Linked DNA regions of Alligator mississippiensis. The main gene of each other region encodes a partner of the protein of the gene in region 2 in a complex. Links are inferred from orthologs where the notes say so. Each region holds a gene or a part of one and is shown on either strand. Other genes may lie near its edges.

Region 1 (7,264 bases), about 140 Mb from region 2:
CCCTCTCAGTCTTCTTTTCCTCAGGCTGAAGAGTCCCAGATCCCTCAGCCTTTCCTCTTATGGCTTGCCTTTTAAGACTCTGACTATACGGGTGGCTCTTCTTTGGACTCTCTCAAGCTTGTCCATGCCCTTGTTAAAGTGTGGTGCCCAGAACTGGATGCAATACTCCAGCTACGGTGTCACCAGTGGTGAGCAGAACAGAAGAGTCACTCCCATGGCTTAGCAGGAGATGAATCGATTGATGCATGCCAGAGTATTATTTGCCCTACTGGCTACAGCATCGCACTGCCAACTCATATTCATACTGTGGTCTATTATTACCCCTAGGTCCCTTTCATTTTTGGTGCTAGACAGTTTGGTGCTGCCAAGCCTGTAGGTGTGTTGGGGTTGCTCGTCCCAAGGTGGAGCACTTTGCATTTCTCAATGCTGAACTTCATTGGGTTCCAATCCGCTCAACTTGCTAGCCTGTCTAGGTCCACCTGTAACTGAAGCCTATCTTCAAGTGTGACCATGCTTCCCCATAACTTGGTGTCGTCCATGAACTTGGCCAGTGAGCTCTTCACCCCCACATCCAACTCATTAATAAAGATGTTGAAAAGTACTGGACCGAGCACTAACTCCTGTGGGACACCGTTGCCCTCTTCTCACCAGGATGACACAGATCCATTCACTACGACTCTCTGGGTCCTATCCTGGCAGTTTCTCACTCACCTGACTGTCTTGGAGTTAATCCCACAATCCTCTGATTTTCTCATGAGGACATCATGGGATACTAGATCAAGTGCATTTTGGAAGTCTAGGTAATGAATGTCAACCTGTTCTCTCCTGTCCAGGTGATGATTTACCTGGTCATAGAAGGAGATGAAGTTGGTAAGGCAAGACCTGCCTGTGATGAAGTCATGCTGGCTGTCTTTTAGAATCTTACCTTCTGCAAGCTTATCACAGATAGACTCCTGATGAACTTTTCTAGGACTTTCCCTAGGATGGAAGTTAGGCTGATTGGCCTACAGTTACGTGGGTCCTTCCTCCTGCCCTTCTTGTTAATGGGCACAACTTTGGCCCTCTTCCAGTCCTCAGGGACTTCTCCAGAGTGCCACAATTTGTGGAAGTGTTTTGCCAGGGTTTCCACAATGACTTCAGCCAGCTCCTTCAGCACTCTCAGATAAAGATGACCTGGTCCTGCTGACTTGAATACATCTAATGTTATTAATTGGTCATACACCAATTCTACGGCAATAGTAGGAAGGTGATTATTCATATCTTGCTCATCCTCTACTCTACCTGGTGTGGTTTTCCTCTTGGTCTGATGAAAGACCAAGGCAAAGTAGTCATTCAGGAGTTCAGCTTTCTCCTGGGTGCTGGTACCCAGCTCTCCTGAGTTGTTGAGCAACGGCCCCACACTCCCATTCGTTTTCCTCCTGTTCCCTATGTATCTAAAGAAGGACTTCTTGTTATCCTTGGTTCCTGTTGCTGATCTAAGTTCGCTCGCCGCTTTAGCCCGTCTTATCTGTTTCCTGTAAATGCGGGCTGTCATGGAATAGTCCTCCTTGGGGCCTGCCCTGAGCTTCCATTGTTTATAAGCCTCTTTCTTCTTTCTTAAGACGACTGTGATTTCCCTGTTTAGCCAAGACAGCTTCCCAGCCCTTCTGTTTCCTGTTCTCCGCATGGGAATGGACTTCCTTTGGGTTTCAAGGATCGTGTCCTTAAGGAACAACCACTCTCCATGCACACCGTTTGTCTTCAGTCCCTGATCCCGCAGCACTTGCCCTACTAGTGACCTATGCTTGTTGAAATTTGCATTTTTGAAGTCCAAGACTTCAATCCTGCTGTCCGATTTGTCTGCCTTACGTCGGACAGTGAACATGATGGTTTCATGATCGCTATCGCCCAGACTTCCCACTACATTTAAGTCGGTCACCAGGTCGTCTCCTCTGGCCAGGACCAAGTCTAGAAGAGCATCACCTCTGGTTGGCCCATGCACCTCCTGAGTAAGGATGAGCTCCTGAACACAGGTCAGGAAGGAACGCGACCAATCCAACTTGGCTGAGTGTTCCTCCCAGGAGATGTCTGGATAATTAAAATCGTCCATGATGACCATGTCACGTGCATGTGCAGCCTCAGTCAATTCTCAGATGAACTCCAGATAGAGTTCCTCCCCCCAGTTTGGTGGTCTGTAGTAAAGACCTACAGATAGGCTTCTCTTGCCACGCCATGCTACGACCTCCCCCCCGCAACTTGACCCAGAGGGTTTCAAGCTGTCCATTTTTAGAGCCGATGTCGGCATTCAAGGAGGTGTATTGCTCTTTCACGCAGAGAGCAACAACTCCACCTTTCTTCCCTGCCCGGTCCCTTCTACGCAGGGTGTAATCCTCTATCTATAGCTACACTCCAGTCGTGAGGAGTCCCACCAGGTCTCCGTAATCCCTACTAGATCATAATGCACTCTGGAGAGTAGGAGGGCTAGCTCCTCCTGCTTGTTCCCCATGCTTCTGGCATTAGTATATAGGCACCTGCATCCTCCTACTGAGGCCCTTGTCTTCCTGTCCCGCTGATGGAGAACTATTCCCTCAGCTCCCACAACAGTGGCTCTCCCCATGTCCCTATCTACAGGGCTTACTTGTATGTTGGTATATCTTTTTTTACTACTTATCCTGTTGCAGGGTTACCACTTGTATAAGATCATCCTGATTTTAACCAGGGGAATTCTGAATCCTCTTATAAGCCACTTGTAGGCAAGGTTGCAAACTCTTCAAACCAAAATCATAGAAAGCAGGCGTTGATGTTGCCATGAAAAATATGTTCTTTGTCAAGTGGAAATAACAATAATGACGCTGAGGTAATGTTGCAATTCAAATTTAGTGATGTGATGTGATGTGATGCAAATTAATGTCAGACAAACTTTTGATATAGTGATAGGATGTGGTGTGACAGGATATGCACGATAAGGTGTTGAAATGATGTACCGTTGATTATTTGGTATAACGGCACTACAGTGCAAACTGGATGTGACACAGCATGGAAATGCAACACTATTGCAACTGTCTGCCTTGCAGTGGGTCCCCTTAATGAGCCACAGTTGTGGCGATGATGCTATTGTTTTAAATGACTTGGAGCATGTTTAAATTCAGACTATGAACTGGAGCAGCGAGTGGCTTTGCGCTTTAGATGCTGTATAAATGACAACACTGCATCAGGATTAGGGTTGCCAACCCTCCTGGATTGCCCTGGAGTCTCCAAGAATTAAATATAAATCTCCAGAAGACTGCTGAGAGCCACCCGGAGATAAATAATAGGGCATTTGTTAAAATACATATTAAATGTTGAATCAGATTTATACAGCAGTCCAGTAGGTTTTTAAAATGTAATAGTAATGTGAATTTGCCCCCTGATATAAAGTCTCCACACTGTAATCTGTAATTGATATATGCAAGCAGACAGGCACATTTGCGTTGTGTGTCGCAGGCACGTTGGCATTCTGGAAAACTGCTGGGATGGATTCAAACAGAGCTGGCGACCCCAATCAGGATGCAACAACTTTTCATGACTATATGGTGGAACGATGGAGCTTCCCAGTGGCAACCAGGTGTGACACCAGGAGGCAGTGATGCTGCTCTGTCACAAGGCATCAGCCTGCCACGACCACACTGCACTGGTCTGCGGGTACGAGCTCCCCCATCACAGTGCAAGGCCATGATGGACCATTAGTGACTCCACGGTGCAGAACAGGGAGAGGTCACGGAGCTGTTATGACGTGAAAGGATGATGTAACACCCCCGGGCAAGATTATGACGTCCTGTGGCACTGCCTCGCAAGAGCAGGGAGTGGCAGCGTGACGTATTCGAACTACCCCGCGGCACGCGACGGTGACGTAGCAGGGAGGATGACATTACATCGCGCAGGGAGGCAATGACGGAGTTACCAGTGGTCATGGCAACAGTGCGTTGGACTTAAGACGCGCGGAAGGGGGGCTCCCACCATGGCGCCCCCAGGCGGGGCGGAGGGATCCATCCGGGTCCCCTCGCTCCTCAGCGTCGCGTGCGTAAACCCAGACAGCTGCTCCGCCCTCCCGGCTCCGCGAGGCGGGAGTTCAACCCCAAGAACCGTTTATGATTGGCTGTCGTTCCGCAAAGGGGGGTCCGGATTGGCCGGCGGGGGAGCGCCGAGGCCCGGCCGCGATTGGGCGCGGAGCTGGGGCAAGCGGCTTGCGCATTGGCCGAGAGGCGCGTTCGGGCTCGGGCGGGGGGGAGCAGCCATTGGCTGGAAAGTAGGTTAGTGGTGCGACGTTCGGTGGCAAGCCAGGCGGAAAGTAGGTCAGGGACGGGGGGCTGCGCTGGGTGTTGCTCACTGCATTCGGCGGGTAGCGGAGGAGGCGGGGGCCACGCGGGGCGACCACCCCCGCCCGCTCGGCCACGGTGAGGCGGGGGCTCGGAAGGGGGTCGCGCGCGGAGCGGGAGGCGGAGGGAGCAGGGGTTCCTCGAGGGCGCCTGCGGCCGTTGACCGGCCCCACGGCTGGCCGCGCTCCAGGCGCGCTAGTGTCTACGCGGGGGGAGGGGCGGACCCCGTGCGCGCAGGTGCAGCGTTCCCCCCCTTCGCCCCCTCCCCCCGTCCGAGCCCCGGGCCCGCGGATGGGCGCGGGCATAGTCCCCCTCCCTCTGGGCTGCCCCCCCCCCCACCCCGGTTCGACGGGGGGCGCTGCGGCTCTCCAAGCAAGTCGGCGATGGGCTCTGCATCCGCGCCTCGCTCGTTTGGCAGGGCCTGCTCAGCCCACCCCTCTGCTCGCCTCCTCTTGCTTGATTTATTTTATATTCTTTTAGTTTACTTTATTTGATCATTTTACTTTATTATTCTTCAGCAATTGGTCTGTGACCTGTAATGCTTTTTGGGTGTTGTGTGAACAGGTTTGAGATGGGACAGTGCTTGGGCCCCAGGCAGGACTGACACACAACCTGCCGCCCCCCCCCCCCCCTCCGTGAGAGGAGCTGTGTGGCCTGCCCAGCTTTGCTGGCGTTGGTTTTCTTGTTGTGTTTCTTTTTTTCTCTCTCTTTTTAAGAAGTGTAGCGGTGGTTAAGTACAGGCTGGATGTTGGCTGGTCAGGATCTGCCTCTCTGGCCCCTGGAGATTGCGTCTTGTCCGTTCGAACTCGTGCTGCAAACTGCGCTGTCAATTTTCTTTTCAAAGCTCTGTTCCCCTCTAGACATTATAGACTGGGTCATGGTGGGATGCTTTCAGCTCAGAACTGCATGTCCTTTGGTGGATTGGAAAGTACTTTTCCTGCCCAGGAGTCAAATTGCAAGTGTTTTGGGGTTTTTTTGTTTTTGTTTTTTGTCTCTTTGAAATCTGGCTTCCTCTTTATGCCTGGCATGTGCAAACTGGTGGTACTGGCAGCTCACAAAAGGCATTGAAAACCCAACCTTTTTTTCTGTAATGTTAAGCATTAACACCGCTTGTTTGTGTGTTTTTTAAATTGGTGTCTTTAAATGAAGTGATCCACCTCTGGAGTAAGTTTTTTAAATTAGGTTGTGTGGGAATGCAGTTGTATGAATTGAGGCAAATCAAAATAACCCTTATAAGCATCCAAAGCTGCATTTGTCAGTGAATGTCCAGAATCTCCCTACTTGTTTAAAATAGGTCTGTGCTCTTTCTTGTTCCTAAACAATTAATTGAGTATTTCTCATAACCACTAATGATTTTATGTCTGTCTGTAATGCAGTCTCCAAGTGTTGCTGCTCTAGGTTGTTATGGTGTGCTTCTACACCACTAGTACATGCTTCAGACCCTGCTGGGAATGCTCAGTATGTTCAGGGTCTGGAAAGGAGCTGCATACAGAGACTGGATAAACAAAAAGGGAGTGGAGAGGCTGGAATGACGTACGTTGCCCCCTGGAAAACCTGTGGACTGTGTCTTTTGCCTTGGGGTCTTGTGCAGCTGCAGATCCTAGGGTCAGCATTACTGTGGAAGTGCAGTACCTGCTTGCAAGTGGTATTAACTTCTCATTGACATTTGGGAATCTGCCAAGTTTGGAAGAAGCCCCATGACTCCTTAAAGGCTGAATCAAGAAGCTATCCACAGATGTACTTTAACAGAGATTTTTGCCTCATGCATCTGCCCCTGGATGTTCTTCTGTTAAGGGTTACCTGGTCAAAAGCAGTCGGGGTCCCAGACTGAAGGAAAAGCTGATGTTCCTTGGGGTAGGAGACAGGAATGCTGGACATCATGGGTTCAGTTTGACTAGGATTAAAAGTATGTTAACCACCACACCTTAATTCTAATAAGAGACGAGCTCTGTGATGATAGTACAACTTGTACTTCTTAAGTGAGTTTTGAAACATGAGGTTTTTAAATAGGCTTATGCTTTTTTTTGTTTGCAAAACCTTGCTGCATGTGTTATGACCACTAATGAGATACATTCAATAACCTGAAATATTGTCTACATGCAGAGTTTTTGCAAATTAATTAATTTTAATTAGTTAATTTAAAATGATTAGCATAACATTGAAGCTGGAAAGTAAGCACGAGTGAAGTAAAGACCTTGATTGCAGGGTTGACACTCCGTTGCTATTTCCCATATGTCATACTTTTAAATGTTACTGCATAAAGTCATGTCTTTGTCAGGAGAACTGGAGCACTGCACATGTGGCATGTTAAGCTTATGTTAGGTTTAACTTTTTGTTGTCTCTGGTTTACCTGCTTACTTGTCAGTCTTGAACATTTATTTATTTGGGTGCATTTGTATTTCCTTACAGTAAGGAGAGTAGGCAAAAGCAGGCAGCCATATTTACATGTACTTAAAAGTTTTAAAGTCACTAAGGAAGTGTCCCTAGATTGCATTCAACCCAGCCTTCTCTAGGAATCTGAGTGAATATACTGACTTAAGCCATAACTTCTTACTAATATTCAATTCTTTCTCCTCCAGTTTGGGTAGCTGCTTCTTTCTTTAAGGCCTAAATAGCTATGGACATTTTACAAGTCAATTTAAAATGTCTTTCACTTTGAGCTTGCATAATAATTATTTTTGTTAAAATTATTAACACATGAAAGGATATAGACTGAAATGCAACAGCTCAGACTGAATTCATAATTATTTAATAGTGTAGGTCATGTTCTGAGCTACTGTGGCAGGGTTACCCCTTTTAACTTAGGCCAGATTTTCTGAGCATAGTTAAGTGCTTTAGAAAAATGCCTCTGTATCTAAACCCCTCTTAAAAATCTGTCCTTGGGTCTGCTCCACTCTCGGAAGCATATACTGTCACTTTTAGACCAAATC
Region 2 (7,139 bases):
GCAGGATTCTACCAAGCTTTGCCTTTCAAGTGCAACTATCAATAAACCATTCAATGTATCATGTAACATTTGGATATATTGTGGAATTGCAGCCAGTTTTTAAAACTCAGTTCATGCACTCTCCATGTCATGGTATGGATACCTGGCTGACATAAGGAAGCATGTTAATAGAAAGTCCAAAGCATTCATCCTCATTCATAGTAGAAAAGACTTCCAGGTACATCTATTCAGACCAATGGAAAGATTAATAGGATAGGCACATGAGTACCAATTGTTACCTTCCACAATTCAGTTTCCAGATGTTCAAAATCATCCTCTAAATTAACTCAGGGTTATCAGTGAACTCAGAGAGGGTTCATCTAGTAGTTATATCAGCAAATTCTGTCCCCCAGTCAACAAACATTCTGTATTTTCTTATCCAACAGTGGCTAGATTTCTAAAGGGTCTTATGAAAGTCTACTCCCAGTTCTTCTTTATTTTATACGGAGACCAAGCCTGCAGACATGCATTAAGCATTGTCTGAGCACTTATAGCACACTGGGCTCACCAGGTGAACTAGATAGGGGAAAATACCTTATTAAGAATCCCAGTTGGTCTCGGGTATGTGCCGAGTTGCTCAACCCTGATGTGCGAAGCAGTTCTGACATAGCATATAGGAATATTTACTAGTAAAATCTTAGTTATGGAATTAAGTAGTTTGCCCCTGCCTCCTTTTAGAGATTAGGCCCTTAATGCTTTACATTTTTAAAGAACTAAAAAAAATATTCTTTTGGTTGGGCAATAGCTATTGGTGAAAATACAAAAACATATTATTGTGCAACTGTACTGTCTTCTGTTTTGATCTTGTCAGATCTCAAAAAAAAAGGTGAAAGGTGTTCAAGGAATGCTTGGGCACTGAAAGAAATTTCATTGTGATTCATTAAGCGTAGCTCTTCTCTTTAGGTCATACCTCAATGATACATGTGCACAGTATGCTACTACTACTAAAGATGTCATTTGTAATACTGATTACTCTTGGTTATTAGATCTTAAAGGAAATACGTGTATGGGTTGGTTTTAACCTTGGTTTCTTGGACAAAGTTCAGTTCAGATTAATTACATATTTATGTCTTAAATTCTTGCAGCATCTCCTAGATTTTCTATTTCCTGTTGTGTAGCATATCCTCTACCACAGAAGTTTACCTATCTTGTGTTATCCCCTACCTACTTTGCATTAGGAAGGTATTTAAGTAATTTTTATAAAATACTCTCTTCAGATGAAAGCCGTGGTGCAAAGTATTGTACATACTTCAGTAACATCAAGTAGGCTGCTTATATACCACCTATCCTGAGTAGCAAGCTTTAGGTTCAGCTAAAAGCACCAAATGAAAGAAATATCCTTATAAAAAAAATATTTGGATTCATCAACATACTCAAAACAAAACATTGCTCTCTAATGAAAATTGGTTCTCTACTACATTCTGTTCTATATAGGTTTTCATTGTGCTCATCACTAGAATTTGTGCAGCTTTCAGCAGTGCATTAAGTAGTTACTGAAATGTTAGAGCTGCTGGACATGTTATTCATCAGATTTATTCAATATTTCAATGTATTTATTCTGATAAATCATTCTTGCAAAGAAAAATTAACCAGATGATAAATATAGCACAAAATCGCTGAGCAATTTCAAAGATAGATTTGAGTAAGAGACCGACCTCTAAAAGTTTCAGAATTGTCCTAATACTCAGCAAAGTAAAAGGTACAATCTCTCAATCTGAGCATAGAAAATCCCCTACCTATATCTATCTACCAGTCATAGTGATATCCTTTTTGTACTAGAACAGTATATTTTTTGCAATGGATCTGTTTTCCATCACAAAAACCCCAAACCATCAAACAAGTTCTTCAAACTCATACTGGTTTATTAAACTGACAAAGTTTTTTTTGTATTTTTCTTATATTTGTAATTACAGCACAAAAAGCTCTAAGGCCTGGCTGATAAAGAAAAAAGGGTAGATTTGATTTAAAATATCAGTTTTAAATCAGCAAGCAAGAAATCTTGATTAAAATCATTTTCTATTTTGGTTTGTGCTTTAGTAGTTTTCTAGATTTGATTCTCACTGGTAAAACTTCATTCTTCCTTTGTCTAATTAGGAAGAGACACTGTGTCTATTAATATTAGCTCAACATCCTTTTAGTCAGTCTTACTTTTTACATTTTTAATGCTCAAAAATAGTGATTGATGCGTTTCTATTTACTAGTGATGACTGAATTCCCCCCAGCCCCACAACCACTTGTCATCAAGCTGTATCCAGATGCAGCCTGGAAGTCAACATAAAATACACAAAAACATAATTTTAGGGATATTTCTTATGCTTCTGGGCTTTGCTGGTTGCCCTTGCCTTGCCTCCCTCCCTGCCCCCCCACTTTTTGCTACATGTGTCAGGGCATTTTTAAGCCTTCCCAGATGTACCAGGTGCTGGCTACAGCCAAGGCTGGGGACCTTGACTCAGGTGTGCCAATGCTCCTGCTGGGAGCCAAGCCAGAGGTTCCTGGGTAGAGGGTCTTGCCCCTCCCCTCAGGGTCAGACCGATGGCCATATATGGGGTCAGGAAGGAATGCTTCCCCATGGTCAGATTGGTGCAAACTGGGGGGGGGCTTGCTTTTTGCTGTAGTAGGGGCCTGGCCCTTGAAGCAGAATCTTTTGAACATGCACTGAAAAGCATTTCATAGAACACTGGCTGCTGTGGTTTTCCTGCTTTAGCTGTGGCAGGTTAGGGGGTTAAGTCTGTGTTGTGTCAGGACTGACAGGATAGTTTTATGAACAGTTTAGATTATGATTTGTATAGAATGGTTTGGATAGAGATGATCCTGCCTCAGGCAGGGCTGGACTAGGTGACCTCTGGAGGGTCCTTCCAACCCTGCTGCTCTATGATCGAAATTGGTTTTCCTGGGGTTTTTTTCCTACTCTTGCTTCATTATTTTTTCAACTTTGAATGAGCTAAGCACCAAAACATTGGCAGAATAAAAACGTTCTCTCTACAGCTACTGCCGCAGAAGACTAGTTTCGTGCTTCCACAGACCACATTTCCAGGCGTTTAAGCAATGACTTCCACAGATTCACAGACAGCATGAGATCATCGGGTCCAGCCCCCCTGCTCTGGGCAGGAAAGACTGCTGGGGTCAAATAACCCCAGCAAGGTGTGCATCTTTTGAAGCTCTCCAGGGTAGGTGCTTGTACCACCTCTGCTGGGAGTCTGTTCCAGAGGCTGGTTACACAAACCATGAAGAAGTTCTTCCTTATATCCAGACCTGTCCAATTTTTTTTCTTTTTAAATACCAGCAGCAAAGCCCATTTACATTTAAAATGTGACACATTTAAACCTATGGTAGTTGGGAGGCTGAGGAACCATTCCCTCCTGCCGTGAATGCTTTCATGGGTAAAAATGGATCTAGATCCTAATCAAGTTCCAATCCTGCCACGGACTCTGGTGAAGCGGGGCAGCCGACTGCTGCCTTTCCCGGCCCGTGCTCCCTGGGCTGCCATAGCTCCGCCGGGCTCCCTCCTGGTAGCCCGAGCCAACCAAGTCCGCACGACGCCCCGGAGCCACTTCAGCGCGGGGGGGAGGGGACCGAGGGTTGCGGCCGCCCCGTGCAGAGCGAGGGGGCGCCCGGGGGCTGCTGCCGGCCGCTCCCGAGGAAGGAGCCGCGGCCGAGTCCTCCCGCCTGCCGGGAACAGGAGAGTCCCCGGGCGGGCTGGGGCGCGGGAGTCTCCGCAGCCGCCCAGAGAGTGCCCCGCCAGCGTCCCGGCCCAGCCTGGGGCAACGCGGAGCCCCAGCGCGGCTCCGCCGCCAAGTGCGCCAGAGCCGCCCGGCCCCAGGCGGGGAGCGACTGACGCCATTTTCTCCTTTCGAAGCCTCTTGCGCCTCCACCGGGGTAATCTGAGGTCAGGGCAGCGCGGCGCTCCACTGCGCCTGCGCGCGGGGCTCGCCGAGAGAGAAGCCCTGGCTGCGCCTGCGCAGCCGCGCCCCCCGGGACAGGGAATCACCGGGCCGGCTGCAGCTGTGCGCTGCGGCCGGCTGCGCCTGCGCACTGGCGGCGGTCGGGGCGCGCGGGCCCGGCCGCGGTCGCTTGCAGTGCGCGCGGGCGCACGCGCGGTGGCGTGAGGCTCCTGTGGCCGCGGCCGCTGTTTGCCGGCAGTTCGGGTGGCGCATGCGCTCTGCGGGCGGCTGAGGGACTGGCAGGCCTGGCTGCTGCTGCTGCTGCGAGAGGAGGCTCCGGCTGCCGGTGGGTCGGCGCGGCGCGGCGCGGCGCGGCGCGGCGCGGGGAGCCGCTGCACTGCGGGGGGCGGGTGCGCGGCGGGGCCGCCCCGCGTGGCGGCTCCCCTGGTCCCGGCCCGCGTTGAGGAGCCATTAAAGTTTGACAGCCCGGCGGCGGGAACACGGGCGGCGGCGGCGGGCGGGGAGCACCGCGCCTGCCCCCGGGGCCGGGGTGCTTCCCTGGATGACCCGTTAGGCCCCGCGACCCCCCGGCTCGTGTCCCTGTTGCCCGGCCGCCCTTCGCGTCGTCCCGCTGTTTGTGGCCGAGCGCGGCCGCTATCCTGGGCCGGGGCCGCTCGAACCGAGGCCCGGGGTCGGGGCTGCAGCGGCGGAGGTGAAGCGCGTTCTCTTGCCGGCGGGCGCAGCTGCGTCCTGCGGGGCGGGGCCGCTCGGGGCCACCTGTGCTGCTTCCCGCTCCCGCTGCCCCGGGCACAGGGCTTGGGGGTCGGGTCCTGCCGGCGGTCCGCCCGGGCGAGGACTCCGTGCGACTCGTGTGTGACGGGCCCCTGGGGAACGGGCTGTGGTGGGGTGGCAGGACCCGGACCCTTTGCGTGCGACGGGACGGGCCAGTTGGCAAAACGCGTCGCGTGCGCCGCGCTTCACTTCAAAGCACTTTTCCTGTATTTTTGTATTTGTTGGAGGATTTTTTGCCTCATCCTTTTATAGCGTCCAAGCAGAGAGACTGCTTCAGGACGTTGAAAGGTGACTCTAGAGCATGTTTGTTAGGTTCTTTTAACTTTTCAGACGCTTACTGAGAGAGACTGAGATGCGCTTGTGTGCATGGTGATGCAGTGTTTCCTGGGGAGGGGGAATTGCTTTGCCTTGTTCTAGATTGGCATGAACAACAGCACATACTTCTAATAGCCGGGATGAATCTTCCTGCAGCCCGGCCTCATTCACTGCTCCTTTCTGCTGCCTTACCCATGTGTGCCAAGAAGAATAAGTCCCTGTGTTAAGTTCTTCCATTATGCATAGTCTGTTTATATTTTCCTCGTTGTAAATTATATTCTTAGGACTGCTTAATCTCCCTCTGGTGGCTGATTGAAGATTTACAGCTCTAAAATGTAAATAAAGACTATGGGAGGCTGGTTATCATTTCAAACTTTGCTCTAGGCTTATGTTCCGCCTCTGGCACTGCTTCCTTAAGGTCTGTGGGATTCTGTGCAGAGATCCACTTCGTGTAGGAAACAGTGCTCATCTTATGAACATTTTTGAGAATTTGAATTTTCTTCCTGCTCTAAAATAAGACAAAAAAATCCCCTTCAATTTTTTGCAAAAAGAGAGGGGAAAAAAAGGCCAGCTTCAGTTCAGGGACATTCAGTCAAAATGGGACATTTTAGAAAAAGTGCTTTGAAATTGTCAGAATTTTGTAAGTGGAGACAGATCTCTTCATGTGGACAGTTTTGGCCTTGATGAATTGACATTGTCAGATGAGAAATGTTTTCTCTGAAAATTTCTAGTTGTAGGGTACTTTGCATTGTATAACCTTACCTTTTGAATTCTTTTTCTCTAGGTAACGAGTGATGTGTAAGCCCATATCCTTCATCTGTATATTCATAATGCACAGATTTTTTTTCAAAAGGGTTTTAAGAAGCAATTAGAATAATGAATACACTTCAGCGAGGTCTGCCTTGAGAAATCTAAGTATTCTTAATATGCAAATATGTTGCCACTGGAGTGTTGACCATGGGGCTCTTCTATTTCCTGTATAGCTTTGAGAGAAGCATGATTGTGTTATGCCAGTTGTCATAGGTGCTCTTGTATCTGACTGATCAAGAGCAAATCTTCATAGGTTGCTGTCAGGATAGTATTCTGCTTTGGCTTGAAAATGAATGCTTTAATATGGCATTTGAAAGAGAATGCCTGCAATAGTGAGGGGCAGAAGCAAAATTAGATCATTGTTTTAGTAACATTAGGCTTGGACATTAGAAGAGTTGGAGTGAAGAAGAATATGTGGTTAGTGCTCCAGCTTAGTTTAACATATTGAATTTAATTCCCAAATGGGACCCTCAGATTCAGGAAAAGTGAATAGTTACATCATCAAATTCTCCCTAATACAGAACTGCATCTGTATTTCAGTGACATACAGCGTTCTTATGTTTTAGTTTGAATTTTAAAATATTTTGGAGCACAAAGGTATGAAGTGATTTTAGTGATGTCAGATAAAGAGTTTTGCTTGTGAGGCTTTATATTTCCCTCGTTCAGTGATGATTCATATTTCCGTTGGCTAGGCAAAGTTTATTTGTTTTTTTGTTATGTTATCACCATAGTAAATGAGAGTAATTTGGTGATAAATGCAGTTACACGCTTTAGGTTTCAGATCACTTTGATATCTATAGTTTCATTGCTTGTTTGTATTCATTTAGATATGAAATACAAATATTATTGATTCGTTTTTTTCTGTTGTTTAAATTTAGCAGCTTCAATATACATGCTAGTAGGCAGGATATGGTAACTTTGTGACAAATTACTCAACAAGTATGTTCTAATAAACATTCAAAAACACCAACTTGATCTGATTACATTTGCTTGTGATTGTAGAGTAATACTTAAACAGGTTATTATTTTCCTTGGCATTTGGAATATACTTTTATTTTTAAATAACTGTTGCCTGTTTCTCATAACTTAATTTTTTCTGTAATAGAGATTAAAAAGACTTTATTGGAAATGTAACCCCTTTTTGTATTAGAGCTGTGTATCTTCCTGAAACCTCAGATATTTGGAAGACTTTAGGCTTTAAAAATTGCCATAGTGTAGGTGGGGTGGGAAGCACCACAAAATTACTAAAGTTGCCCAGCATTTCCTGCTATAAGTCTCTGTTTTCATTTGTTCTTAACTTTG

What was found. Proteins that work in one complex are often made in the same cells at the same time.
Region 1: the proteins of CLOCK (region 2) and BMAL1 are in contact, whole or in part, in a crystal structure (PDB 4F3L), measured with the Mus musculus proteins. The link is inferred for Alligator mississippiensis from reciprocal best matches to the Homo sapiens genes CLOCK and BMAL1. Residues at the interface, in NP_001276755.1 of Mus musculus: Arg46, Gln49, Phe50, Leu53, Ile54, Glu56, Leu57, Met60, Leu61, Pro62, Lys70, Ser71, Leu74, Gln75, Ser77, Ile78, Phe80, Leu81, Arg82, His84, Lys85, Thr88, Glu95, Ile96, Gln98, Asp99, Trp100, Pro102, Phe104, Leu105; in XP_030097882.1 of Mus musculus: Lys70, Met71, Phe74, Ile75, Glu77, Leu78, Ser80, Leu81, Val82, Asp93, Leu95, Leu98, Arg99, Ala101, Val102, His104, Met105, Lys106, Leu108, Arg109, Gly110, Ala118, Tyr120, Lys121, Pro122, Phe124, Leu125, Asp127, Asp128, Glu129.

Annotation. Positions count from the first base shown.
Region 1 is NC_081825.1:201,878,064-201,885,327, forward strand, and holds the start of BMAL1 (basic helix-loop-helix ARNT-like protein 1), read left to right. Parts: upstream 1-4,249; 5' UTR 4,250-4,268; exon of another isoform or gene 4,269-4,306; intron 4,307-4,312; exon of another isoform or gene 4,313-4,412; intron 4,413-7,264. UniProt on the Homo sapiens protein: Transcriptional activator which forms a core component of the circadian clock.
Region 2 is NC_081825.1:60,495,558-60,502,696, reverse strand, and holds the start of CLOCK (circadian locomoter output cycles protein kaput), read left to right. Parts: upstream 1-4,119; 5' UTR 4,120-4,266; intron 4,267-7,139. UniProt on the Homo sapiens protein: Transcriptional activator which forms a core component of the circadian clock.